7 linked regions of the Cricetulus griseus genome follow. Each later gene encodes a partner of the first gene's protein in a complex. Links are inferred from orthologs where the notes say so. Each region holds a gene or a part of one and is shown in the gene's direction. Other genes may lie near its edges. The genes, in order: Eftud2, Scnm1, Snrpd2, Snw1, Cwc27, Snrnp200 and Cwc15.

Region 1 (3,500 bases):
CAAATGCTAGGATTAGAGGTGTGCACCACACACAGCGTATTCTCATATATCTTGATGGTCTAGTTGACTCATCTCTGACTATCAAGAGTTCTTTGTAACTGGCTCTTTCGTCCTTTTGACCTACCTCATCATGTTTTGAGTTCTTGCTTATTTTCTTACACACTTGCCCTACCCTAGTCGTAAAACCAGCCATTTCTTCAACAAGCTCTGGCTTCCTATATAGTGGAGACCACTATCTGGGGGTGTTCATTGCTGCTTTGATGCTTTGCCTCCAGGCCCATTCACTGAGCACAGCTAGGTAATACCCACCCACACGTCTGTCACTCTTCTGCACACAGGTGTTGAAAATGTCACTTGTTCAAACTGAGTGTCGCTTTGTCTGTCTGAAATCACGACACACGGGAAGTAAGGGGATTGCTAAAAGTTTGAGGCAGGCTAGGGCTACAACCCAAGACCTTACCTCAAAAAAATAAAACAACAATAACAAATAAGAAAATGGCTTGTTCGGCCAGGCATGGTGGCATATACCCTATCATCCTAACTACTGTGGAGGCCAAGGCAGAAAAACAGCAAATTTGAGACTAGCTTGAGCAAGGTAGTGACACCCTGGTTCAGAAGAGACTAAAACAGGGAAGGGATTTAGCTCAGGGGCAGCATTCCTCAAATGTCCAAGGCTCTGGGTTTATTCCTTAGGATCACTGACAAGGGGCTGGAGGTGGGTCACAGCATTCATTTTAATACTTCCTCATCAGTAAGTTCTTCCTAGCGTTCTCAGTGCTGAGAAGCTTTGGTCCCAGCATGGCCGTTGTGTTTATTTGCTTTTTAGTCTTGCTGTGTAGGTGCCCCCTTCAAAAGAAATTAAGGTGTAGGTGCCCCCTTCAAAAGAAATTAAGGTGCCTTATTCAATAACAAATAAGAAAACAAGCCATTTTCTTATTTGTTATTGTTGTTTTATTTTTTTGAGGTAAGGTCTTGGGTTGTAGCCCTAGCCTGCCTCAAACTTTTAGCAATCCCCTTACTTCCCGTGTGTCGTGATTTCAGACAGACAAAGCGACACTCAGTTTGAACAAGTGACATTTTCAACACCTGTGTGCAGAAGAGTGACAGACGTGTGGGTGGGTATTACCTAGCTGTGCTCAGCTTCACAGCCCCGAGTCTGCCTTGCGGATGATGCTTCCAGCTGACACTTCACGCCCAGGCCATTTCCCCTTTGTACAGAAAGTGTTGCGAATGTCGCCTTCCCCCCTACTATAGATGTGCTCTCTACTCTTAGTACCCACTTCCCGCTTCAGAGCCCTGTGTTTCTCAGGTGATGCTGAACACAGAGCGGCTGATTAAGCATGCAGTGCAGGAGAGGTTAGCAGTCACCGTGTGCATCAACAAAATCGACCGGCTGATCTTGGAGCTGAAGCTGCCTCCAACAGATGCTTATTACAAACTTCGACACATTGTGGATGAGGTCAATGGATTAATAAGGTATAAGACCCCTGGGAGTGGACTTCCTGTCCTTAGGAGAGTCTGGCTTTTATAAATCTTAATTTTACCCTTGAAGACTTCTGGGAGTCCCTCACTTTGTGGCATGTGGGTGATCCTGTCAGTTCTAACAGCACATGTCGGGTCTCTGCAGGACTGCCTGCAAGCCTCTCCTCAGCAGTTCAGTGTCTGAACCAGCCACGCGGTTTAGCACATCCCTGGTTCTGTAGTCAGTAGACTCTAAAGCAGTCTCACCTTTACCACCTGCCAGCCATGTGAAGTTGGCGATTACCAAAGCTCATTATTTACTTACCTGTTTATTTAGATATCTGGATGTTTAGCTGCACATATGTTTGTACACCGTGTACATGTCTGGTACCTACACTAGTCGGAAGAAAACAGTAGATTCCTTAAAGCTAAAGTTAAGGAGAGCTGTGAGTCTCCATGTGGGTGCTGGGAACTGAGCCCAGGTCCTGTGCAAGAGCAATGTGCTGCTCTACCTGCTGAGCCTTCTCTTCAGCCCCCAAAGGTCATTTTTGCTTCTATTAAACAAACAAACAAACAAACAAACAACCCCGGATACAGTGTGGTGGCATATGCCGATGGTCCCAGCACTTAGGAGGTCAAGGCAGGAGGATTAGAAGTTTGAAGCTAGTTTGGAGTACATAGCAAGTTCTAGGTTGGCATGAGGACCATGGAGGGGCCCTATCTCAACAACTCACATTAGGGCTGAGTAGATGGCTTGGTGAGTAAAGTGATTGCTTCATGAAGACCTGAGTTCAGGTCCCTAAAATCCATAGAACAAGCTAGGATGGTACCTCCCATCTGTGATCCAGCACAGTGTGGTGGAGACAGGGAAACCACGTGGCTAGGCAGTCTGGCCAATTGATGAGCTCCAGGTTCAGTGAAAGAACCTGACTCAAAGATCAAAGTGGAGAATAATAATAAAAAATGACACTCGGTGTCAACCTCTGGTCTCTGTGGGTGTGTGTACCCACATACACAAAAATAATTAAATTTAATTAAAAAAAAATAAGATGGGCATAATGGTCCACCCCAATAATCCTGACACTCAGGAGCTGAGGCAGGAGAGTTACTATGAGTTTGAGGTCAACATGGGCTACAGAGTGAGGCACTATCTCATAAAACAAAGAGGGCCAACGTGATGGCTGAGCAGATGAAGGACTTGCACAAGCCTAACTGCCTGTATTCAATCCCCAGAACCTACATAAAGATGGAAGGACGGAACGGACCCCACACTCTGACCTCTATAGACACCCCACACATACATGCCATACACACATACAATCAATAAATGAGTCAGCAGAACTTTTTTTTTAACTAAGCAAATGAATTGCCTATTGGGATGTTAAAAGAAATTAAGTAGCTAGTTGGTACAGCTCCCTTGCCATATGGCACCTGCTGCTGAGTGATGTTGGCTGCTCTGTCTTACTGATAACACAGGGTGTGTAAATGAAGAAACTTTACTGTGTGTTCTGCAAGCATCTGCTTCATAAGAAGATGGAAGATTTAGTTAGAATTACACATGTAAGTTGCTTTGAGGCCTATGTTAGCACAGTTGCTGTAGGATATGGTATTCTGTGAGTCTGGAGAACCCAGCACAGGCCATCTAACTCCTTAAGCCCCTGGGCCTCCTGCCTCAGCCTTCCAAATGCTGGGATTACAGGCCAGTGCCTCCACTCCTGGCCTTCCGAATGACTCAAGTTGTTTGCAAAGTTTAGGTCTGGGGTGTAGCTCCATCCGAGAGCACTTGCTACTATATGCAGGGTCTGGGTTATGCACTCTGCAAAATAGTGAAATGAAAGTTTCAGAATTTTTGAAACAAGAAGCCAAACAGAGTAAAGAGAGTGACAGCGAAGAGGAGCAAATCTGCCGTTTCTCTTTTTTCTCAGTGTTGTTTATCTGTCCTGTCCTTACCTGCATGTCCCCCACCCCTAGACAGGGTCTGCTATAGCTCAGGCTAGCCTGGAACTTCTACAGAGCCAAGGATGACCTGGAACTTCTGA
Region 2 (3,943 bases), on another chromosome or scaffold:
GGATAGTGCTACCCTGAGAGGTGTAAACAAAATAAGACAAAGCAGAGACCACAATATAATTAATATAACATCAGGGAAGGCCGCTTAGCAGACCACCCAGTTTCTCCTGGGCACTAAATCTCTCCTGAATGGTCACCACACCACAATCCTTGGAAGACTCACCGTCACCCCGTATTTGAGTGCTAGTCCAGCCAGGGTGTCTCCAGGCTCCAACTGATGCTCCAAGCGTCTTTCCCTCACCGGGGAGCACGATGATTGTACCAGGCTTCCATAAGAACGAGCACGGCTCCCATGCAGCAGCCCTGACCCCCCAAGTGGGGGCTGTCTAGAGGGAGAAGCCATCTCAAGATGCCAAGATCTAGGGTCACAACTGAGGAAAGCTAAGTGACCAACAGTGAGGGCCGAACCCCAGGAATGGATAGATATTCTAGGAATTCCTTCTCACTTCTCTCTTTAGTGTCCCCGCTCTCGAGAGACTACATCAATGCTCCTCTTGCTGCTGCTTACCGAGCTTGGGGTCACAGTCCGTACCCTAAGAAGGCTGCCAGGCCGGTTACATTTCTCCTTCCTCAAGACCCTTGCCCATAAATATCTTCCCTGAGTGGTCGGTCGCCGACCCCTTCGACTTTCGACGCCCTCTCCCCAACTCCTTGCAAGCCTGATCTCTGACCTTTGAACCCTAGACACCCTCATCAACACTCTCCCCTCAGTGTGTCCCCACGTCCCGCAGCCGGGCCGCCGGGAGCCCCCACATCCTCTCTGCTCCAAATCAGGCCCACCCCAGGTAGATCGTGGCTGTGGACGGTGAGCCTGGGGACTGAGAGAGTTTGCAGTACACGGTCCACTGAGATCCCCGAAGCCTCGCTCCACGCCAGGAGGGTCCCACCCTGAAACTCCGGCTCCACGTACAGGTTCTTGGTCTCCAAACACCTGGGTCCTTCGCGATGTGAGTGCCTGTACTCAGGTGAGCGGTGAGGTCTTTTAAAAACAACAAAAAAAAGAAAATAACTAAAAGACTTCATTTCCCAAAAGGCAAAGCGTTCTCAGGGCATCATAGGAAATGCAGGCACCCTCAGGGCTCTGGAGGCGGGTCTTCCGGCTCGCGCGGTGCATGCGTGGAAACGCATCCCCGGAAGTAAAGACTTAATCAGAAAAAGACCGGAAGCAGGGAAGGCGATAACCTACTCTTCCTACGGTGGCCCGAAGGAGAGGCAAAGTAGGCGTAGGAGAATTTATTATTTCTAAGACTCACAGTCGTGATGTCTTTCAAGAGGGAAGGTGACGACTGGAGTCAGCTCAATGTGCTCAAAGTAAGCCCTAGTGAGAGTCTACCCACGAGCAGTGGTGGCGCACGCTTTGAATCCCAGCACTTGCGAGGCAAAAGCCGGTGTGTCCGTGTTGCGTTTGAGGTTCGAGGCCAGCCTGGTCCACACAGCCAGCTCTAGAACAGTCAAGGCTACACGAAGAAACCCTGTCTCGAAAAATCAAAGAACTAGAGAGAGGGAGAGCCCAGCTTCAGTCGCGCTTTGCATTGTTTTGTTGCTCTGGCGACATCTGTGGGAGGGGGTTTCGGGGGCCAGAACTGAGTGATGCCTCCTCCTTCTTACCCTATGGTCTGCTCCATTTGACTCTTTATCCCTGTTATTTCTTTTCATCCATCCCTCATATTCGTTTCTCCTGTCCTGCTCTCTGCAGAAACGAAGAGTTGGAGACTTGCTGGCCAGTTACATCCCAGAGGATGAGGCGCTAATGCTGCGGGATGGACGGTGAGAGCAGAGTGGATCAAGCCTGGGGATTTGCTATCAGAGGCTCAACAGACTTTGGTTTCTAAGGAGATCAGGAGTGTAATAGATCCTTTGGTTGGAAGTGAAGATTGGAAGAGGTGGCGATCGGGAGACCTGGGCGTTGGTGGAGTGCTTTGACAGGCATAGCCCCTAAGTAGGAACACCCCAACCACCGGCTCTCCAACACATACGGGTTTGCCATTCACTTCTCTTTTCCCTAGCTTTGCTTGCGCTATCTGCCCCCATCGACCAGTCCTGGACACGCTGGCCATGCTGACTGCCCACCGTGCAGGCAAGAAGCACCTATCCAGTAAGTACAGGAGAAGGCGGGGAGTGGAGGAATGATAGAGAATACACTCTGAACATTTTGTCAGTCTACTTGATGTTGTGCTTGCTTTCCTTTTCAGGTTTGAAGCTCTTCTATGGCAAAAAGCAATCAGGCAAGAAAACAGAGCAAAAACCAAGACAGCAAAATGAATTGAAGACAGAAAGCAAAGCCGAGGTGAGAGATCTGGTCAGGTGTTGTTCAGGCAGGGCTGTACTGCATGCAACAGGACTTTTGCCTAACATCTCCAACTGTGTCTTCTTCTCTTGATAACCAGGCACCTTTGCTAACCCAGACTCGATTAATCACCCAGAGTGCTCTGCACAGAGCTCCTCACTATAGCAGTTGCTGCCGGAGGAAGCACAGGTCTGTAGAGGGGGAAATCCGGAAGTGGGAAAGGGTAGAAGGAAATAGATGGTTCTGAAGTTACTGCTCTCCAAACTGTACTCTGAGAAACACTAATCTTGTGGAGATGTTGTTTAAAGAAAAATGATAGTTTGTGGTTTGTTTTGTTTTTGTTTTTTGTTTTGGTTTTTCAAGACAAGAGTTTCTCTCTGTAGCTTTGGAGCCTATCCTGGCACTTGCTCTGGTGACCAGGCTGGCCTCGAACTCACAGAGATCCCCCTGCCTCTGCCTCCTGAGTACTGCAATTAAAGGCGTGGGACACCATCGCCTGGTGATAGTTTGTGATTTTAAAATAAATTTTAGCCGGGTGTTGGTGGCTCACACTTTAATCCCAGCACTCCGGAGACAAGGCAAGTAGATCTCTGATCTATAGAGTGAGTTCCAGGACAGCCAAGTCTACACCAAACAAACAAAAACCCTGCCTTGAAAAACAAAATAATGCACACACACACAAAAAAATAGTAACATTATTGCTGGATGGTGGCACACGCCTTTAATCCTGGCACTCCAGAAGCAAGGCCAGTGGGTCTCTGAGTTCCAGGCCAGCCGGGGCTACAGAGGAAAAAAAAAAAAAAGTAACATAATCTGGGCATAGTGGTACACTTTTTTGTTTGTTATTGAGAGGGGATCTCCCTTTGTAGCCCTGGCTGTCCTGGAACCCTGCTATTTAGACCAGGGTGGCCTCAAACTTACAGAGATCTGCCTTTCTCTGCCCCTTAAGTGCTGCAGGTACTAAAAGTGTGTACCACCATACCTGGTTATGGAAAATCTTGAGGCAAAAGCGTAGAACTATTAAGCTGGCTTTTCTCAAGTTCCTAATTCCAAAATCTTTCATATGTAAAATATTTAAGATCTTATGGAACTCAAGCTGGGTGTGGTGGTATACACTTTTAATCCCAGTACTTAGGAGGCAGAGGCAAGTGGATCTCTGTAAATTTAAGGACAGCCTCATCTACCTAGTAAATTCCAGGTCCATCATATGTACTCTATCTCCAAAAAAGCAAACAAAAAAACCTCAGGAACTAGCCAGGCAGTGGTGGCTCACGCCTTTAGTCCCAGCACTCTGGGAGGCAGAGGTAGGCAGATCTCTGTGAGTTCTAAACCAGCCTGATCTACAAGAGCTAGTTCCAACAGCCTCCAAAGCCACAGAGAAACCTTGTCTCAAAAAACCGAGGAAAAGAAAAAAAAAAAAAACAAAAAACTCAGGAACTCAGTTTAGGAAACACTGCTCTTCAGGCTTGGGAGGCACGGGGAAGCTGCTACTTTCCTTCTGTGCATTTAACAGGCTTGGTTTCTTTTCTCCCCAGACCAGAGGCTCCTGCTCCCTCTGTCTCCAGTTCTCCTTTGCCTGCCCCAGAGGTTGGACTCCAGAGTGCAAAGATCAGTAGGGAACCTGAGACTAAGGCAGGATCACATGCCAAAGAGTCAT
Region 3 (3,987 bases), on another chromosome or scaffold:
CGTAGCTTGGCTTCCGGAAGGCTTCCAATCAGCGGGACCTTGGTGGGGAAGAGAAGAATGAAGACAAAACCCCCCATCCCCACCCTCTCCTGGGCGCCGCTGCCCCCTGGGAGCCCTGACTCTTCTTGGTGGTGCAGCAAAGACTTGGAGTTCACATGCATACACCCTAGAGCGGGAGGGCGTCTTCAAGGCAGATCTGGCCCCTGCTACTATTAGAGCCCTGACGGGAACCTTGCAAACAGATGTCTTGGGGCGCGGAGCTCAGATCTGCCCGCGTTGCTAGGCTGACCGCCTGCATCTCCAGGACGGCGAGGCAGGGGCGTGCGCTTGCTTGAGTGATGGAGAAAGAGATGTCACCCGCTCGGCACGGGAAACGGAGGAGGGACCGGGGCCCCAGGCAGGCCTCACCCGCAGATCCCGGCTGCGTGACAGCTCCTGAACCTCGGGGTGCCAGCCGTTCCAGACCATGAAGAGCGCCAAGCCCAGGGCGAGCGCCAAGAGCAGCAGGGGCAGGAGCTGCACTCGCGGCAGCAGGCGGCGCTTGGAAAGCGAGGGCGGCTGCATCGCGCCGCGATCCCCGAGCCGCTGCCGGGGCCGCCCGCGGCTCCCGGGACTCATGGCAGCAGCGGGGCCCCGAAGCCGGTCGTCCCAGACTGAGGTTTGAGTCCAGGCCAGGCTCCGCCCCTCCCCCCTATCGCTTACGCAAGCCAATAGGGAAGCAGAGCGGCGGCGGCATCGTCGCGCAGACGGCCGCGATTGGCTCCTTCTTCTCCAGAAGGCGGTGCGCAGACCCGAGGGCCCGCCCCCCACGCAAGAGGCGCAGCCAATGAGTGGCGGCTGACCGTGCGGAAGCCGCGCCCGCCGCCCTCAGGTGTCCATCAAGGAGAAACGGGCGGCGCCCATCCCTGAAGCAAGGAGGCGATTGGCTCGCTCGAGGCCACGCCCCCCCAGGAGGAGGCGGGCGCCGCGCGCTTGGAAACGGAGCTGTGTGTCGTGTCCCCGCCTCCTCCCCGCCCCCGTTCTTCTTCCACCCAGACGGGGAGTTAATTCGAGCCAGGCCCGGCGGCTCCCCCTTTTTGTTTAGTCGCGAGCGGGGGGGTCCCCCTATTGTGATCCTCACTGACATGGAATCCTCCCTCCAGGCATTTCCTACGGCAGAGAGCCGCCGCCGGGTCGCTATGGCAACGTGACACGCCCACGCCGCTGGGGCGGGTTGCGCAGGCGCCGACGGAAGTGATCCCAGAGGAGGGAGGCGGAAGTCCCGCCTTCCGCTCGCTCTACTCCGGAGGCTACACGGCAACGCGGCGGAGGCGGGAGTGAGCTGCGATCGAAACCTCCACCATGTGAGGCCGGGCTGGGCTCCCGCGGGGACGCGAAGGTGGAGGGAGGGACGCGGGCGGCTTAGCAGGTGGACTGTCGGCTTGGGGTGCTCGTAGCGGGGGCAGAGGTTCCTCCTGAGGTGTTAGGGGACGGGCGTGGGGCCTGGAAGGACGGGTCTGGAGTTCCGGAGCCGGACAGCTTCTTCTTTCTTTTCTTTCTTTCTTTCTTTCTTTTTCTTTTTTTTTAAAGTTTATTTATTTATTCATCATGTAGACAGTGCGAGCCAGAAGAGGGCACCAGGTCCCATTATAGATGGTTGTGAGCCACCCTGTGGGTGCTGGGAATTGAACTCAGGACCCCTGGAAAAGCAGTCAGTGCTCTAACCTCTGAGCCATCTCTCCAGCCCCCCTCATTTTTATTTTTTAAAGATTTATTTATTTACTTACCATGTATACAGTGCGTGCCAGAAGAAGGCACCAGATCTGGCACCAGATCTCATTACGGATGGTTGTGAGCCACCATGTGGTTGCTGGCATTTGAACTCAGGACCTCTGGAAGAGCAGTCAGTGCTCTTAACCCCTAAGCCACCTCTCCAGCCCCCCTCATTTTTATTTTTAAAAGATTTACTTATTTATTTACTTACCATGTATACAGTGTGTGCCAGAAGAAAGCACCAGATCCCATTACAGATGGTTGTAAATCACCATGTGGTTATATTTATTTATTAACCATGTATACACTGCGTGCCAGAAGAGAGCACCAGGTCTCATTATAGATGGTTGTGAGCCACCATGTGGTTGCTGGGAATTGAACTCAGGACCTCTGGAAGAGCAGCCAGTGCTCTTAACCCCTGAGCCATCTCTCCAGCCCCGACAGCATAACGGGCGTGGGACCCTGCTCTGTACTGAGTCTTGTGAAAAGAGCTGTAAGAGGAAAGCTGAGCCTGGTGGCACATGCCCAAGAGAGGCTGAGTGAGGCAGGAGGATGGTGAATTCGCGCCCAGCCTTGGGCTGCACATGGAGACCGTTTCCAAAAGTAATAGTAATTTTAAATGGGAGCCGTAAATGGATAAAGGTCTCGGCAGGGGAAGGGAGTTCTATTAAAAAATAGTGAAAGGCTCTCCAAAAAAAACAAACAAGCAAAAATCATAATGAGGGACTTAACCAGGATAAGGTAGAAAACAGACAGGGGGGCTTTTTCAATCTGCCTGGAGACTCTCAGAGTAGCAAGCTACTGCCATGGTTTGATGTGTTTATTCACCAAGCAGGTGTTACACAGACTGGTTGTTAAGTTAGACACACGGTGTATAAAAGGTCCGTGCCACCGAGAGAAAGTTTTTCTCACTGGGGCTGGTAAAAGGAATGGGGTAGGAAGACCAGAGAACGTGTTAGATGATGGAGAGTGCGGATGAAGAAATTTGAGTAGCTACCACAAAAAAAAAAAAAAAAAAAAAAAGACTGAAAATGCAACACTGGGCTGGAGTTATAGCTCAGTGGGCAGAGTACATGGCTACCTTGGGTTCTGGGTATAGTGGCAGCATGCCTGTAATCCCAGAGGTCTGGAGGCAGAGATGGATAGTCTGAGTCTCAGGTCAGCCAGGGTTACACAGTAAGACATTGTTGTGGGGATGGCGGGCACCAGGAGAAAGGTAACGGAAGATTAGGCCATGGATAGAAATAGCCAGGTTCTGGATATGTCGTAGAGGCAGATGACAAGATGTGAGGGTAGATTTCCTTTAAGAGAGTGCCGGGCTTGATGTTGAACTCCTGTAATCCCAGAACTTGGGAGGTGGAGTCAGGAGAATTGAGAATTGAAGGTCGTCCTTAGTTATATAGCAAGTTCAAGGCTAACCTGGGCTATAGGAGATCCTGTCACCAAAACAGAAATCAATTAAACAGTAGAGTTCTAGCTTAGAGAACCCGCTGAATAGAGTTGCCATCAGTGAAGACGTGGGGAATGCGTGGGTGGGAGAGGTTTTGGTGGTTAGACAGCTGGAACGGGCTAAATAGACAATGTCTCTCCCACCTCTGAAAAGGACATTTGGGGACCAGGTTGAGGAGACACTGGACAGTGCCTTTGATCACTCACACTTCCAAGCTCACCCATCTCACCCGTGGTTTTTCTATTCAGGAGTCTCCTCAATAAACCCAAGAGTGAGATGACCCCAGAAGAGCTGCAGAAGCGGGAAGAGGAGGAATTCAACACTGGTCCCCTCTCGGTGCTCACACAGTCGGTCAAGAACAACACACAAGTGCTCATTAACTGTCGAAACAACAAAAAGCTCCTGGGACGGGTGAAGGCCTTTGATAGGTGAGCACTGAGTCTGAGGGGCCTGAAGGAAAGGTTATTCCAGAAGCATAATGATAGTAAGTTGGTGACAAACTCCTGTAATCTCAGCACTCAGAGGGATCACCATGATCATGTTAGAGGCCAGCCTCCAAAATAAAAAATCAGAAAGTGTGGGGTGCTCTTTTTGTTGTTTTTTTGTTTTATTTTGTTTTCCAAGACAGGGTTTCTCTGGCTTTGGAGGCTGTCCTGGAACTAGGTCTTGTAGACCAGGCTGGTCTCGAACTCACAGAGATCCACCTGCCTCTGCCTCCTGAGGGCTAAGATTAAAGGTGTGAGCCACCAACGCCCGGCTAAAATTTGTCTTATCTGTCTATCCCA
Region 4 (2,558 bases), on another chromosome or scaffold:
AGATAGCATTTGAGCAGGCTCTTCCAAGTAACAATCATTTTTTTTTTTTTTTAATACTGCTTGTGTTCCTGGCATTGTTCTAAATCTCTTTCAATCCTTTAAAAACACTGTTGGTGTTTGGGGAATATAAAGCCATATTGTTGTTTTCACTTTTATTTTTTCATTTTCATTTATATGCATGTTTGCATGTATACATATGTGTACATGCATGTAAGGCAGAGGTTGATGTTGGGAATCGTTCTTTATCACTCTTCCTGATACTGGTCTCTCAGTCAATACCAGAACTCACTGATAAAGGTTGTTAGCCAACGTGATCTGGGATCTCCTGTCTCCGTCTTCAGAGGGTGAAGTTACAGGCAAACTTCCACTCCCCCACCTGTCATTTACATGGGTCGTGAGGATCCAAACTTGGGTCCTCATACATATGGAGAAAGTGCTTTAACACTGAGCTATGTCCCTAGCCTCTTATGTTTCAAAGATAATTGAGACAGGGTTAGGTAATTGATGGAACTGAGATTCAACCTTGAATGCTTTGATTCCAAAGCTTTTTTTCTTAACGTCTTTGCTTTAAGTGGTTAAAGGTTCTATCTCTTACAACCTTAAGCTTAAAGCTTTTCAAAGTTGGGTGAAAATTTTTAAGATTTTCATTGAGAACCTAATTGTCTTGTGCTTTGATAGTGACGTTCTCAGGCAGTGGAGGTTACATTTCTCAGCATTATTGTCAGGTTCCTACAGTAGAATCCTTCAACTTTAGTTTTTGAGAAGTGCATACAGTTAGTTGAGTTTTAACCTCGCTCCCTCCCTTCAACTCCCCACAGATTCACCCCACCCTCTCTACACACTCAACTTTGTGTCCTTTGTCTGATGGCTAGTCAAAGCTTTTGTTGTTTGAGACAGGGTCTTTTACATAGCTCTGACTATCCTGGAACTTGATACATAGACCACAGCCAGCTTAATCAAACTTTTAATGAATACCTTAATTTAATAGTAAGTCTCTGGGTAAGAACTCAAATGAGTATGAACAAGTCTGTGTGTGTTTTAAATGTTGGAGTTGGGGGCTTTGAGAATTACCTGAAAAAATGGAAGTGATCTGAGTACTCACAAGTTTTCAGGTTCAGCTTGGGTATATTAATGTATATGGTTATCTAGTGTCATTTATTTTTCCACAGGGTATGGACAGTGGATTTGCAGGTGGAGAAGATGAAATTTATAATGTTTATGATCAGGCCTGGAGAGGCGGTAAAGATATGGCTCAAAGTATCTACAGGCCCAGTAAAAATCTGGACAAAGATATGTATGGTGATGACCTGGAAACCAGGATAAAGACCAACAGGTACCAAAACAGACAGTTGATTGTCCTGGTTACACCAGTAAAACAAAAGCAGTTCATGACCTCTTCTCCTTTTCCCCTAGGTTTGTACCTGATAAGGAGTTTTCTGGTTCCGACCGCAGACAGAGAGGCCGAGAGGGACCAGTTCAGTTTGAGGAAGATCCTTTTGGTTTGGATAAATTTTTGGAAGAAGCCAAACAGCATGGTGGTTCTAAAAGACCCTCTGACAGCAGTCGCCCTAAGGAACATGAGCATGAAGGCAAGAAGCGGAGGAAGGAGTAGATAGGCCTCTTTTCAAAGCAAAGGACTCTTATTCACAGCCCTAATGATGCAAGTCATTGGGAAACCCTTTGTAAATGATCAGGACAAAAACCAAATCTGGGCAATAGATCCCAGCACTACTTTTTATTCCAGGAGATGGGGGTTGAATATTCTACTTTGGATTAGTTTTTTTAAAGAATGAGTTATGTCTGTGCTCCCATCATACAGCACTTATAGGAAATACTGCCCCAAACAGAATTAAGACCACTTTCTTGTATGTGAAATTACTAATCCAGGGGTAATATTTTGTGTAAGAACTTTATGAATAAAATTACCCCAAAATGTCCACATACTGGAACTGTGCTACCAAATGCATTTGCCCTGTTGTGCTGTTTTACCTTGCAGTGGGGAAACTAAGGTCCTGCTTAGTGTGCAGCTCTTGTTTCAAATAAAAACATTTAGAAAAAGTCTCTTTACATTTATTTAATGGGTACTACAGTAACCATCTCAGAAGTCTCTGTCTTCATCAGATGTTTGAGCCCTTTGCAAAATCCTTTCTTTCCAAGCTTTAACATCCATCTGTGGAGGGAAAAAGCACTATAAGAAAAAAATGACATTAAAAGAAGAATTTCCCTGTTTCCACAAATATCATTTTATTAGTGACTCAGGTGGTTGGTGTCTTCCTTCTGGGTAATCAGAGAGGGGAAGGGAAGATTTCAGGTGTTTGTCTACATTGCTGTTTGAACCATTCTGTGTTACATATGCCTGGATAAGCTATCAGAGGGTCTTCCACCTGGGGATGAAAACTCAGTGGAGCATGTGCTTATCATATGTGTGGCATTCTGGGTTCAATCCCTAGCATCAAAAATGGGGTCTTCATGGATTTTCCTTATGGACCTTATAAGACACCAACTACTCTTTAAAAAGCAACGTGAAACAAACACACATCAACAGAAATACTTACCTT
Region 5 (3,500 bases), on another chromosome or scaffold:
TCTGTTACCAATTTGAGTCATAACATGATTATTTTTCTTTGTAAGAAACGTGGCAAAATTTTATATTCACTTGGGTATTTTTTGTTCATGGATAATTTTGTATGCAGCTATATATTCCATAAATTCTTTACTGTTTCTGGTTGGCTTCTAGAATGCATTACATATGACTTCAAATACCTCCAGTGGTGGCAAATCAGTGTCTTCTAGTTATACCTGATTTTTAGAGACAGTGTTATTCATGGCATCAGAAAACAATATTTTGGGTGAGAAACTAGGTATTTAAGAATCCACAGTATCCTCTTGTATGACATAGACAAAGCTCTCCAAATAGAAATTAGGTAAATATAACACTGCAGGGGGAAGATTAAAGAAATAATAATAAAAGAATCAAATCCCTCAAATCAGACAAAGAAAATAGTCTGCAAAGACCATTATTAATAATTGCTATGGCAGGCAGGCAGGAAATCAAATCAGACAGGTAGTTTAGTTAGGGACGCCTCGGATAACTGTCAACAAAACTAAGAAACAAAGGAGGCAGAGAAGTCTGACTTCTGGGAATAAGTGTGAAGTCAAAAGCTCAAATTTTACAGGAGAGTGGAATTACAAAAACACGAGAAAGAATGAATGGTAAATGCAGTCCAGGACCAGGTGAATGAAGAAACAGAAAGTATCTGGATAGAATGTGACAATGAAATAAACATGAGGTTCAGCGGTTCAGCTTGATGCTGACATAGCTTCCTTGCATCAAAAAAAAAAAAAATATTATTCTCCCATTTATAAGAAGACCAGGAGTTAGAAGTAAAGAATGGAAAATTCATAGAAATAACCAGAGCAATTTTCATAATGAAACAGGCAAGAATTTAATAAAATTATTGTTGGGAAAGCTAACTAAAAACCTGAGAAGACTAATTTTTTTTTTTAAAAAAGATACTCCTGGCAGGAGAGATGGCCCAGCAGTCAAGAGCACTGGCTACTTTTCCAGAGGCCCTGGGTTCAATTCCAAGCAACTACATGGCAGCTCACAAATGTTTGTAACTCAAGTTCCAGGAGATCCAATGCCCTCTCTGGCCTTCAGGTCACCAGGCATGAATGTGGCATACAGACATACATGTAGTCAAAACACACATCACTTATTTTAAAAAAATATGTGTATATACAACTCCATTTATTTCTTTGAATGTCTGATTCAAAGAAGTTAGGATGTTTTTGGGTCTTGTAATGCACCTTTCAATACAACAGCAGCAGCAATGCATAGTTTTCAGAATGAAAAGAAAATGGACAGAAGCCTGGGAGAGAGGGAGGGAGAGAGGGAGGGAGGAGTTCAGTCTCCCACATGGCCCTTGATGAAACAGGTTTTTTTGTTAAAAGATGGTCACATTCTTTGTAGAACTCAAAGATATGTCATTACGAATTTAACCTTGGACTTTGAGGTCTTTGCTTATAGTTAGGAAAACATCTAAAATAAATACATTTTGAGAATTGCCAGTCTTAAACATGGTATAAAACTGTTACAAAAGAAGGAAAGAAACAAAGCAAAAGGCTACTGATTCTCAATGTTTAGAGAGGATACCCTATAACTCAATGGGTACCATGCTTCTATCTTATCTAAGTTAACTTTTTCCTTCTTAATGATTCTGGTTTCAGAGAATAAATGCTATGGGATACCATATTTCATCTGTGCTGAATATTTGTGGCTAAAAATATATTTATAATATAGAACATATTTAAATTTATTAATTTTATATTGATTTCTGAAAGTCACTTAAGTGAATGACTTTGATTGGAATAAAATATATATTGTGTGTTTCATTTGCTGAACATTTTGTTTGAGGGGACTGCAGGTGGACAGTGCTAGAACTATGATCAGTTAATAACTTTAGTATCTGTGGGTTTGTATAATCTTGTATATTGGTAAGTTAATTTCCTGTCAGGGGAAGAGTCTCAGTCTCAGCACTGTTGGCATTTGGGATGGGTTAGTCATTGCTGTGCAGACAACCCTTTAGATTTTAGGGTGTTTGACAATATTCTTGCCATCTTGTATTCCAGGAGTTTTCTCCAGTTGTGATATTTCAAAATGTTGATAAATATCCTCTGGGATGCAGAATTGCTGCTCCTCTCTCTCACCTAGTTGAGAGCCATTGATGTATTAAACTTCTTGTCTTTGAGAAAATTCTGGAGATAAAACAAAAACTAAAACTAAAGCACTGTTGTTTCTGTAGAAGCCTATAGTGTTTTGAAGATTGAATGTTTTATAGGAAAGGTTCTAGTCTAAAAGCATATGTAACATTTTGGAAATTAAATCTGTGGCTCTCTTTATCTATTAATTATGATTACTAAAGCCACACTGACTTTTAGAAATTGTTATATTGTTTTTCAGCATACTATGACAACACCATTTTTCACAGAGTTGTGCCTGGTTTCATAGTCCAAGGTGGAGACCCCACAGGCACCGGGACTGGTGGAGAGTCCATCTATGGAGCACCGTTCAAGGTCAGATCAATTTATTGTATTCTAAGTCAGCTTGGAGTGCTTCTTCCAAAGTAATAGTGTCCCATAAGAAAAATGTCTCATGTAGTGAACAAAAAAAAAAAAAAAATCAATGGAGTTAGAATTATTTAGAGATAGGAACAAATATTACCTACCAAGCATTCTTTTTTTTTTTCTGTCATGGAAAAAATGTTTATTTTGAAATTATTTTAATTTAGAATAGAAAACCTCTTATGGAGGAGGAAAGAAAAAGAAACCACAAAGTATACAGGCAACTTTTTACTTCATGAGCTTCTCACACCCTCATTTGTTCACTAGTTCCCACGAAGAGAAAGCACTCAGCCACTCACAATAATGTTATTAATAGGGATATGGATCAGTTTCACAAAGAAGCTAATGAATCCCATGATAGCAAACCCTATGGCTGTGGCCATGGCAATCTTCTGGAATTCTTTTCTGTGGGGTTTGGTGCATTTTTTTACCAGCCGACTTGAGTCCTTGACAAACTGCCACTGGCCTAGCAAACTGCATTACCTGGTCCATGGTTGAAAGTTGCTGGATGACAGCTGGTGAAGCTAGAGACACATAGCTTCCCTACCAAGCATTCTTTCTGATTTATTTTGTGCTAGATTAAGTTAAGGTAGAACTAAGGGTTGCTATAAGAGAGAGGGAGAGAGAGAGAAGCAGGATTCAGGAAGAAGTGCATATGGTGTATTTCTTGATGTTTGTCTGATCTCAACAGCTAAGTTTTTTTTTTTTTTTTTTTTTTTGGTTTCAAGACAGGGTTTCTCTGTGTAGCTTTGGAGCCTATCCTGGCACTCGCTCTGGAGACCAGGCTGGCCTCAAACACTCACAGATATCCGCCTGCCTCTGCCTCCCAAATGCTAGGATTAAAGGTGTGCAGGCCCAGCTCAACAGCCAAGTTTTAAACATTGCATGTGCTATTTTAGATTAAAATAATTTGATTTAAATATTATATGGAATTTTCAGTAGTCTCCTTGGGCTACAACAGT
Region 6 (3,500 bases), on another chromosome or scaffold:
TTTTGAGATAGAACTTGCTGGACAGCTCAGACTGATCTGGAATTTGGAATCTCCTGCAGCCTCAGTGCTGGGATTACAGATGTTTCACCAAGCTCAGTTTGAGTCTTAAACATTTAACATTTTTATTTTCTTAGGATTTTAGTCAGTTGCTACTCTTCCCAAATACTGGGTTGATGAAATCTTAATATGGTGTGCCCCTGAATTCAGTGTAATAGAGCTGTTTCCTTCTGGAAAGGCCTTAGAAGGTAACCTATGGGATGACAGGTAACTCTGTTGCAACATGATAAAGAGACCTAGTGAGCCAAGTGTTTGCTTTTCTCCTTAGCTTGTAGCCTCAGGAGAACTGATGAGTTCGAAGAAGAAAGATTTACACCCTCGGGATATTGATGCTTTTTGGCTGCAGCGACAGCTCAGTCGTTTCTATGATGATGCCATTGTGTCGCAGAAGAAGGCAGATGAGGTGTTGGAAATTTTGAAGGTATGGCCAAGAAGGTATTTCTGTTCCATGTGCTTGTCAGAAAGGGTCAGTGTTTACCGAAATATCACCAGTACAGGGCCACCAATGCAGGGACAGTGTTTGAAGAAACAGATGGCTGTGTTCTTACTGTTGGTATTATTTGTTCTCTCCAGACAGCAAGTGATGACCGAGAATGTGAGAACCAACTGGTTCTGCTCCTTGGTTTCAACACTTTTGACTTTATTAAAGTGTTGCGACAGCACAGGATGATGAGTGAGTAGTCCGTGTACTTTTCTTTCTTGCTTGGTGCGTGCGTGTGTGCGTGCATGTGTGCGTGCGTGCGCATGTCTGTCTGTCTGTCTGTCTGTCTGTCTGTACATTCAGTTGTGTCCAGATTGTGTGTGTGTGTCTGTCCATGTGTCCATCCACACATTCAATTGTGGATGAATTGTTGCTTCTTTGGCTTCAACATTTAATTACCTTCTTTTTGCTGAGGAATAAAAGTTGATTTTATTTCATTCTCTCTTTCCCACCTTTTCTCTGTCCCTGTCGTGTTCTGCAGTTTTATACTGTACCTTGTTGGCCAGTGCTCAGAGTGAAGCTGAAAAGGAAAGGATCATGGGAAAGATGGAAGCTGACCCAGAGCTTTCCAAGTTCCTCTATCAGCTGCATGAGACTGAGAAGGAAGACCTGATCAGAGTAAGGGCTGCTTTGTTTTCTTTCACATTTCTCTCAGTGTTTGAGGTAATAAAACATCTTTGAGTTCTCTGGAGTTTGTCAGGGTGCCAAGTAGAGTGAGCACACTCATTGTTATGCCTGTGACACTGTCTTCACCTAGCACCATAGGGACCTGTTTATCACAGTCCAGGAAAGGAACATGTTTGCTTAATATGGAGCACCATACTTTCATGCCTTGGGTATAGCCTTGGTGGTTAATTGTAGACTGTTATACTGTTTAGAACATTGCATCTCATTGTGTTTGTTCCCTTTTTTGTGGTTTCTTGTCCGTCTCAAAATAAAGTGATATCTTTGGGTTTGGGGAAACATGAGTTAGTACCTGTGAGTGAAACCCAACCCAGAAGGAACAAGAACCTAGGAGAGTGATGATCGTTGTACTTTTTCTCTTTCCCTGTTTCAGGAAGAAAGATCCCGGAGAGAGAGAGTCCGTCAGTCCCGAATGGACACAGATCTGGAGACCATGGATTTAGACCAGGGAGGAGAAGTGAGTGCTGGGCTGTTCCCTGGCAATGGTGGATGGGAAACTCACCTGCTCAGCCTGTTACTGTTTTACCTGTTCCCAGGCTCTGGCTCCACGGCAGGTTCTGGATTTGGAGGACCTTGTTTTTACACAAGGAAGCCACTTCATGGCCAACAAACGATGCCAGCTTCCTGATGGATCCTTCCGACGCCAGCGTAAGGGCTATGAAGAGGTGCATGTGCCTGCTTTGAAGCCCAAGCCCTTTGGCTCAGAAGAAGTGAGTGAATTGCTTTTCTCAATTTTGTCTTTCTCCTCTCTTCCAGTTTGGTTTTAGCCATTGACTAAAATGTTACCTTGTCTCAAGGATAATTTATTGTAGAGGTGGAAACTGTTCCAGAGTTTTCCCATTGTGAGACAAGGAGGCAATACTGTTGTCTCTGGACAGGTTTATGATTGAGAATTATGAACAGTGATTGCCAGGGAATGAAATTATGGGGAATCACAAAATGATATCATGGTTATCTTGTAAGAATAGTAATCTACGGAGATGGCTCACAGGTTAAGAGCACTGACTGCTCTTCCAGAGGTCCTGAGTTCAATTCCCAGCACCCACATGATGGCTTACAACCATCTACATGCCAGAACCCTGTGACATAATAAATAAGTCTTAAAAAAAGAAAATAGTAATCTTATAAGAAATCTTACAAGAATGAACAGTTTGCAAAAGGATGCTATAACATAAAGTGCAAAACATTTCTTCCTCTAGCAACTGCTTCCTGTGGAGAAGCTGCCAAAGTATGCCCAGGCAGGATTTGAGGGTTTCAAAACACTGAACCGGATCCAGAGTAAACTCTACCGTGCTGCCCTGGAGACAGATGAGAATCTGCTGCTGTGTGCTCCTACTGTAAGCATTGCCCCGCCTGCTTTTTCTGTCCTGGAATGTTTTGGTGGCTAGTTGGATCTTAATTTTTACATCAGGCTTTATTCTTATGGTTATTTTGAGACAGGGTCTCACTATGTAGCCCTGGCTGTCCCGAATCTCACAATGTAGGCCAGGCTGCCCTTAAACTCACAGAGATCTGCCTGCCTCTGTCTCTGCCTTCCAACTGCTGGGATTAAAGGGGCGGCATACCATTCCTGGCTATTCTCTGTTCTGTTGTGGAAGACATAGGACAATCCAGTGGTCAGTTCTCTCTCTCGTTGTTAGCCCATTAAAGTCAAGGCAGTAGCCATATAGTTCATCAGACATGAACAGACTTTGTCTCTGACCTGCCTCTAGGGTGCTGGGAAGACCAATGTGGCCCTGATGTGTATGCTTCGAGAGATAGGGAAACACATTAACATGGATGGCACTATCAATGTGGATGACTTCAAGATCATCTACATAGCTCCTATGCGGTCCCTGGTGCAGGAGATGGTGGGCAGTTTTGGAAAGGTGAGTCACATCTTCTCGAGAAGGTACTGGCTGCAGATGGCCATGAAGTGGGGGAGGGGCCTATGTGCCACTCTTTCTTTCCTTAGGGAATCTCTGGATTTTTTTTTTTTTTTTTTTTTTTTTGCCATTTCCAAGGTAGAACGTGACCCAAGTGATTTCTGAAGGAAAAATGTCTTGGCCTCTCTTACATGGACTCCATTTTTCTTTGAGCATCTCCAGAGTGCTTGTGGAGTCATGTCTGGCCCACGGATATGGTTGATAGCTTGTGAGTTGTTACTCCAGTTCCACTCTCCTAAGTGTGTCCAGTTTCCTGCTCCATGTGGGGCTCCTAGAGACACTTTGCCTCGTCAACCTGAGTGGAACTGAACTTGTTTAAATAGTATTTGGTCATCCTCCTGATTCTCCAGATA
Region 7 (3,500 bases), on another chromosome or scaffold:
CTATATTAATAGGGTGGCCATGTTCTCAAAAAATATAATCTCAAGCCTGGGGGGAAAGTGTAGATTTGATCCAGAGGCTGTCTGACCATTCACCTACAAGTCTGACAATATGTTTTTAAATTTTAAATGTTTATTAAAATGCTCCTAAACTTAACCTGTAAGTAACTAAATAAAACGTTTACATCTGTATCTCAGCTTCTCACAATTGAGAGACTGTTGACTATTTTGGAAAGAATGAGATATTTGTAATAAAAATAGCAATGTATTTACTTTTTACAAAGATTTTTCTGGTATTTGTCAAGAATCAAAAAGAGGAATGAGTAAGTTGGTAAAGTGCTTTCCTGCCATGTGCGAAGCCCTAGGTCCCTACCACTGAAAAACTGGGCCTTGTTGTGTACATCTGTGGTACACAACCATGCACTCAGGAAGTGGGTAAGAAGTTCAAGGTCATCCTCTGCTACCTAGCAAGTTCCATGCCAGCTGGGCTATAAGAGAACCTGTCTCAAAAAGGAGAAAGGAAAGGAGAAAGAAAACTACCATCTGACAGATGTTCATTTGTGAACCAATATAAGACAACTGACTTGAAGTTAGTAACTTTGTGTCTTCCTCTGCCATTGACAGGAACAAGAACAAAAAGCAGAGGAAGAGAGAATTCGAATGGAAAATATTCTGAGTGGAAACCCCCTCCTCAATCTCACTGGCCCATCCCAGCCTCAGGCCAACTTCAAGGTTAAAAGAAGGTACTAAAAGTAATGGGTTGACCAGATGGTGGTGGCACACACCTTTAATCCCAGCACTTGGGAGGCAGAGGCAGGCGGATCTCTGTGAGTTTGAGACTAGGCTGAACAGCCAGGGCTACACAAACCCTGTCTTAACCAAGGGGATAAAAAATAATGGGTTGATCTATATGTGTGGTACATTATTTGTATTATGTGTTACATAAGGCTTCTAAGACCCCACCTCCTATATATAACCTCAGTCAGATTTTAGAATAATGGGAGAAGAAGAGAGGCAGGATGACTTCATTTTAATGCATACTCATAATAACCAAGTGTCTGCCAAGTCATGGTCTAAACCTGATCACTAGCTACATGACGGTAGCTACAAAACCTGTACGTGGGATGTGAGTGGAAGGGTCCTCAAGACCACCCCTCACAGTTCAGTTCTAGAAGGATTCAGGGGACTTGCCATGACCATATTGATGTTTGATATTGTAAGATACACACAGATCATACAGTTGTGAGTATTCATAGATATACATTCAGGTCACAAGGTGGAAAGACATAGACTTCCTTACACTCCTATTCCTGTAAGAGGTCACTAAACAGTGAAACTAGAAGTTGACACTTGATGATCAAGGTTATTGGGACTCGTCCTGCAGGAACTTCTGTTGCGTGGAAGTCAAGTTAGTTATGTACTATAGGCAAGTGATGGTGAGAGGTGACTCGGGTCTCCAGTGCTAGCCGAGCTAAGAGGCAGGCTGGGAGTGAACACTGTACTGCATGTGAAGGAGGAGGGCACTAGAGAGCTGGAAAGAGTCTGCATAATGTGACAACAGATGAGGATGCAGAGGAAAGTAGAGTGAGCACTCACAGGAGCCACTGTGTGTGTGTGATGGGGGGGGGGGGCTGTACTGTGTCAGGGGTGAGGAGTCCCGTTGCCTTTCCTTTCTGCTCACCTCCACCGCTGCTGTCTCATCAGGAATGAAGCACTGCCCCAGCTGCTCTCCTGCCCATTCACCCCAAAGGTCATGCTCCTGCTCACACACAAAGAAAACTCCATCTTCTTCCAAGCTCTTCTCTCATCCCAGCACCATGGTTCTTTCTTTTAAAAGTCACGATAATAGCTGCTTTTTTCTAAATTCGTTCGTTTCTTTACTCGATCACAGTAAAAGAACAGTCCTTGTGGTGACATAAAGCTAAAAACTTAACACACATTCTTGAAGACAACAGTACAGTCAAGGGAAGGTTTGCTGACACCAGCAGTTTAGAGACCAGACTCCAAGCATTTTACCTGAGCAGTTGCAAGGCAGGCATGGGAAGGAGTATGGCTTATACTGAGCATGAAAGAGGAAACAGGTTCCAGGCATGCTAGGATTGGAGTGCTCTACACATCTCTAAGTGTATCTAGTCTGTGTGTTTCTGCAGTTGGTTCAAGCTGGTAATAATTCGTCTGGGAGTCACCAGCATGGGCAGAGGGTTGTGTCAGTGCCTGGAGTAGGGTGCAGTATAAGTTCATAGTACTGGAGTAGTATAAGTTCATAGTAAGTGCTTAAAAACTAGTATTTGGATTTAAAATCCTAGGCTAAGACTAAGCACCTAGAGAAGAGGGCAGCCAAGACATTCCCATTAGTGTTGTGAGAGGAATGAGTGACAGTCTGGGAATACTGTATGCTGATGTGTGTTCGAAGAGAAGGGAGCAAGGGACCAAAAGCTCATTGGGATGAGTTAAGAGACAAAACACGATAAATGAATATGAAGCAGTCTGGTTTATTCTTCCCTTTGTGGATGCAGGAGTAAATATCCCAGTTTACCATGCTGCTGAGCTTCTCATGTGTGCAACATCAAGGCAAATTTACTGACACAGTACCCATAGGTACACATAGTCTTTGCTCATTTTCCTTGTGCAATTTCTCCTGGTAAATATACACCAACACACACAAGCACAATGTAAGCTGTGTTTTATGTATGTTTGTGTCTGTGTTTGTCATGAGGAAGGGTTTATGTTTTTATATGGGAGGTGCTGCTCTGACGTTATGCACTTTACTTTCCATGGCACCTTTCCATGAGTGTGTTTCATGCTCTCTGAAATCCAGCTGAGTTCTACTCTGAGCTCCTTAGCAGATACTTCTTCAGTATTAATGGAGACTGGGGCCAATCTGTGAATCTTCATTGTTACATTCCTGTAGTTCTGTCTTTTGTTGCTTTATGATGTATGACCAGCATGATGGATATAATTGATTAGAAGTATGTACAAAACTTTACAAAGCATCAGGAAATGGATCACTTACTGTCTAGTGGTGTTGGATCAGGACCATGGCCCTGCCTCTTGGTTTTAGACCTGAAAATATCACACCTTTACCTGAGCGCAGTATGTGTGTCTGCTTCTGCTTTGTAGCTCAGAGCTGCTTCCACTAGGGGAGTGGTATGTGCTCTGAGTATGGGTGCCTCCTGCTGTGACAACTTCCACCATAGGCACACCAGTTCTTTTCTTGTCAGGAGGCAGATTGTGTCTGTGTTGATGAAGCTTTACAGCCTGTGTGGTGTTCTTGTTTCCTGATAGAATTATAAGGTATTTATTTTCTTTTCTTCCCCTTTAGGTGGGACGATGATGTCGTTTTTAAGAACTGTGCAAAGGGTATAGATGATCAGAAGAAAGACAAAAGATTTGTAAATGATACACTTCGATCTGAATTTCACAAAAAGTTCATGGAGAAATATATTAAGTAGTACAGTTTTATGTGCTTAATTAAAGTCTAATAAAATGTTAAGGATCAATTT

The links.
Region 2: Eftud2 (region 1) and Scnm1 share a complex: the UniProt entries of both Homo sapiens proteins name them as parts of the minor spliceosome. The link is inferred for Cricetulus griseus from reciprocal best matches to the Homo sapiens genes EFTUD2 and SCNM1.
Region 3: Eftud2 (region 1) and Snrpd2 share a complex: the UniProt entries of both Homo sapiens proteins name them as parts of the minor spliceosome. The link is inferred for Cricetulus griseus from reciprocal best matches to the Homo sapiens genes EFTUD2 and SNRPD2.
Region 4: Eftud2 (region 1) and Snw1 share a complex: the UniProt entries of both Homo sapiens proteins name them as parts of the minor spliceosome. The link is inferred for Cricetulus griseus from reciprocal best matches to the Homo sapiens genes EFTUD2 and SNW1.
Region 5: Eftud2 (region 1) and Cwc27 share a complex: the UniProt entries of both Homo sapiens proteins name them as parts of the minor spliceosome. The link is inferred for Cricetulus griseus from reciprocal best matches to the Homo sapiens genes EFTUD2 and CWC27.
Region 6: Eftud2 (region 1) and Snrnp200 share a complex: the UniProt entries of both Homo sapiens proteins name them as parts of the minor spliceosome. The link is inferred for Cricetulus griseus from reciprocal best matches to the Homo sapiens genes EFTUD2 and SNRNP200.
Region 7: Eftud2 (region 1) and Cwc15 share a complex: the UniProt entries of both Homo sapiens proteins name them as parts of the minor spliceosome. The link is inferred for Cricetulus griseus from reciprocal best matches to the Homo sapiens genes EFTUD2 and CWC15.

What each region holds. Positions count from the first base shown.
Region 1 is NC_048600.1:115,260,714-115,264,213, forward strand, and holds part of Eftud2 (116 kDa U5 small nuclear ribonucleoprotein component), read left to right. Parts: intron 1-1,309; coding exon 1,310-1,476; intron 1,477-3,500. UniProt on the Homo sapiens protein: Required for pre-mRNA splicing as component of the spliceosome, including pre-catalytic, catalytic and post-catalytic spliceosomal complexes. Component of the U5 snRNP and the U4/U6-U5 tri-snRNP complex, a building block of the spliceosome.
Region 2 is NW_023276806.1:61,367,435-61,371,377, forward strand, and holds the start of Scnm1 (sodium channel modifier 1), read left to right. Parts: upstream 1-1,143; 5' UTR 1,144-1,259; coding exon 1,260-1,310; intron 1,311-1,695; coding exon 1,696-1,766; intron 1,767-2,005; coding exon 2,006-2,094; intron 2,095-2,191; coding exon 2,192-2,286; intron 2,287-2,386; coding exon 2,387-2,475; intron 2,476-3,821; coding exon 3,822-3,943. Other genes in the region: Lysmd1 (lysM and putative peptidoglycan-binding domain-containing protein 1), read right to left, coding at 163-358, 910-1,022. UniProt on the Homo sapiens protein: As a component of the minor spliceosome, involved in the splicing of U12-type introns in pre-mRNAs. Plays a role in the regulation of primary cilia length and Hedgehog signaling.
Region 3 is NC_048602.1:28,213,612-28,217,598, reverse strand, and holds the start of Snrpd2 (small nuclear ribonucleoprotein Sm D2), read left to right. Parts: upstream 1-1,187; 5' UTR 1,188-1,341; coding exon 1,342-1,343; intron 1,344-3,450; coding exon 3,451-3,630; intron 3,631-3,987. Other genes in the region: Qpctl (glutaminyl-peptide cyclotransferase-like protein), read right to left, coding at 1-38, 409-618. UniProt on the Homo sapiens protein: Plays a role in pre-mRNA splicing as a core component of the spliceosomal U1, U2, U4 and U5 small nuclear ribonucleoproteins (snRNPs), the building blocks of the spliceosome.
Region 4 is NC_048598.1:116,352,292-116,354,849, forward strand, and holds the end of Snw1 (SNW domain-containing protein 1), read left to right. Parts: intron 1-1,169; coding exon 1,170-1,333; intron 1,334-1,413; coding exon 1,414-1,612; 3' UTR 1,613-2,058; downstream 2,059-2,558. Other genes in the region: Slirp (SRA stem-loop-interacting RNA-binding protein, mitochondrial), read right to left, coding at 2,099-2,188, 2,556-2,558. UniProt on the Homo sapiens protein: Involved in pre-mRNA splicing as component of the spliceosome. As a component of the minor spliceosome, involved in the splicing of U12-type introns in pre-mRNAs.
Region 5 is NC_048595.1:323,093,451-323,096,950, reverse strand, and holds part of Cwc27 (spliceosome-associated protein CWC27 homolog), read left to right. Parts: intron 1-2,377; coding exon 2,378-2,490; intron 2,491-2,770; exon of another isoform or gene 2,771-3,030; intron 3,031-3,500. UniProt on the Homo sapiens protein: As part of the spliceosome, plays a role in pre-mRNA splicing. Probable inactive PPIase with no peptidyl-prolyl cis-trans isomerase activity. As a component of the minor spliceosome, involved in the splicing of U12-type introns in pre-mRNAs.
Region 6 is NC_048599.1:51,360,503-51,364,002, reverse strand, and holds part of Snrnp200 (U5 small nuclear ribonucleoprotein 200 kDa helicase), read left to right. Parts: intron 1-325; coding exon 326-478; intron 479-630; coding exon 631-730; intron 731-1,019; coding exon 1,020-1,156; intron 1,157-1,595; coding exon 1,596-1,679; intron 1,680-1,758; coding exon 1,759-1,932; intron 1,933-2,421; coding exon 2,422-2,559; intron 2,560-2,934; coding exon 2,935-3,090; intron 3,091-3,500. UniProt on the Homo sapiens protein: Catalyzes the ATP-dependent unwinding of U4/U6 RNA duplices, an essential step in the assembly of a catalytically active spliceosome. Plays a role in pre-mRNA splicing as a core component of precatalytic, catalytic and postcatalytic spliceosomal complexes.
Region 7 is NC_048597.1:127,982,822-127,986,321, forward strand, and holds part of Cwc15 (spliceosome-associated protein CWC15 homolog), read left to right. Parts: intron 1-621; coding exon 622-740; intron 741-3,319; coding exon 3,320-3,449; 3' UTR 3,450-3,500. UniProt on the Homo sapiens protein: Involved in pre-mRNA splicing as component of the spliceosome. Component of the PRP19-CDC5L complex that forms an integral part of the spliceosome and is required for activating pre-mRNA splicing.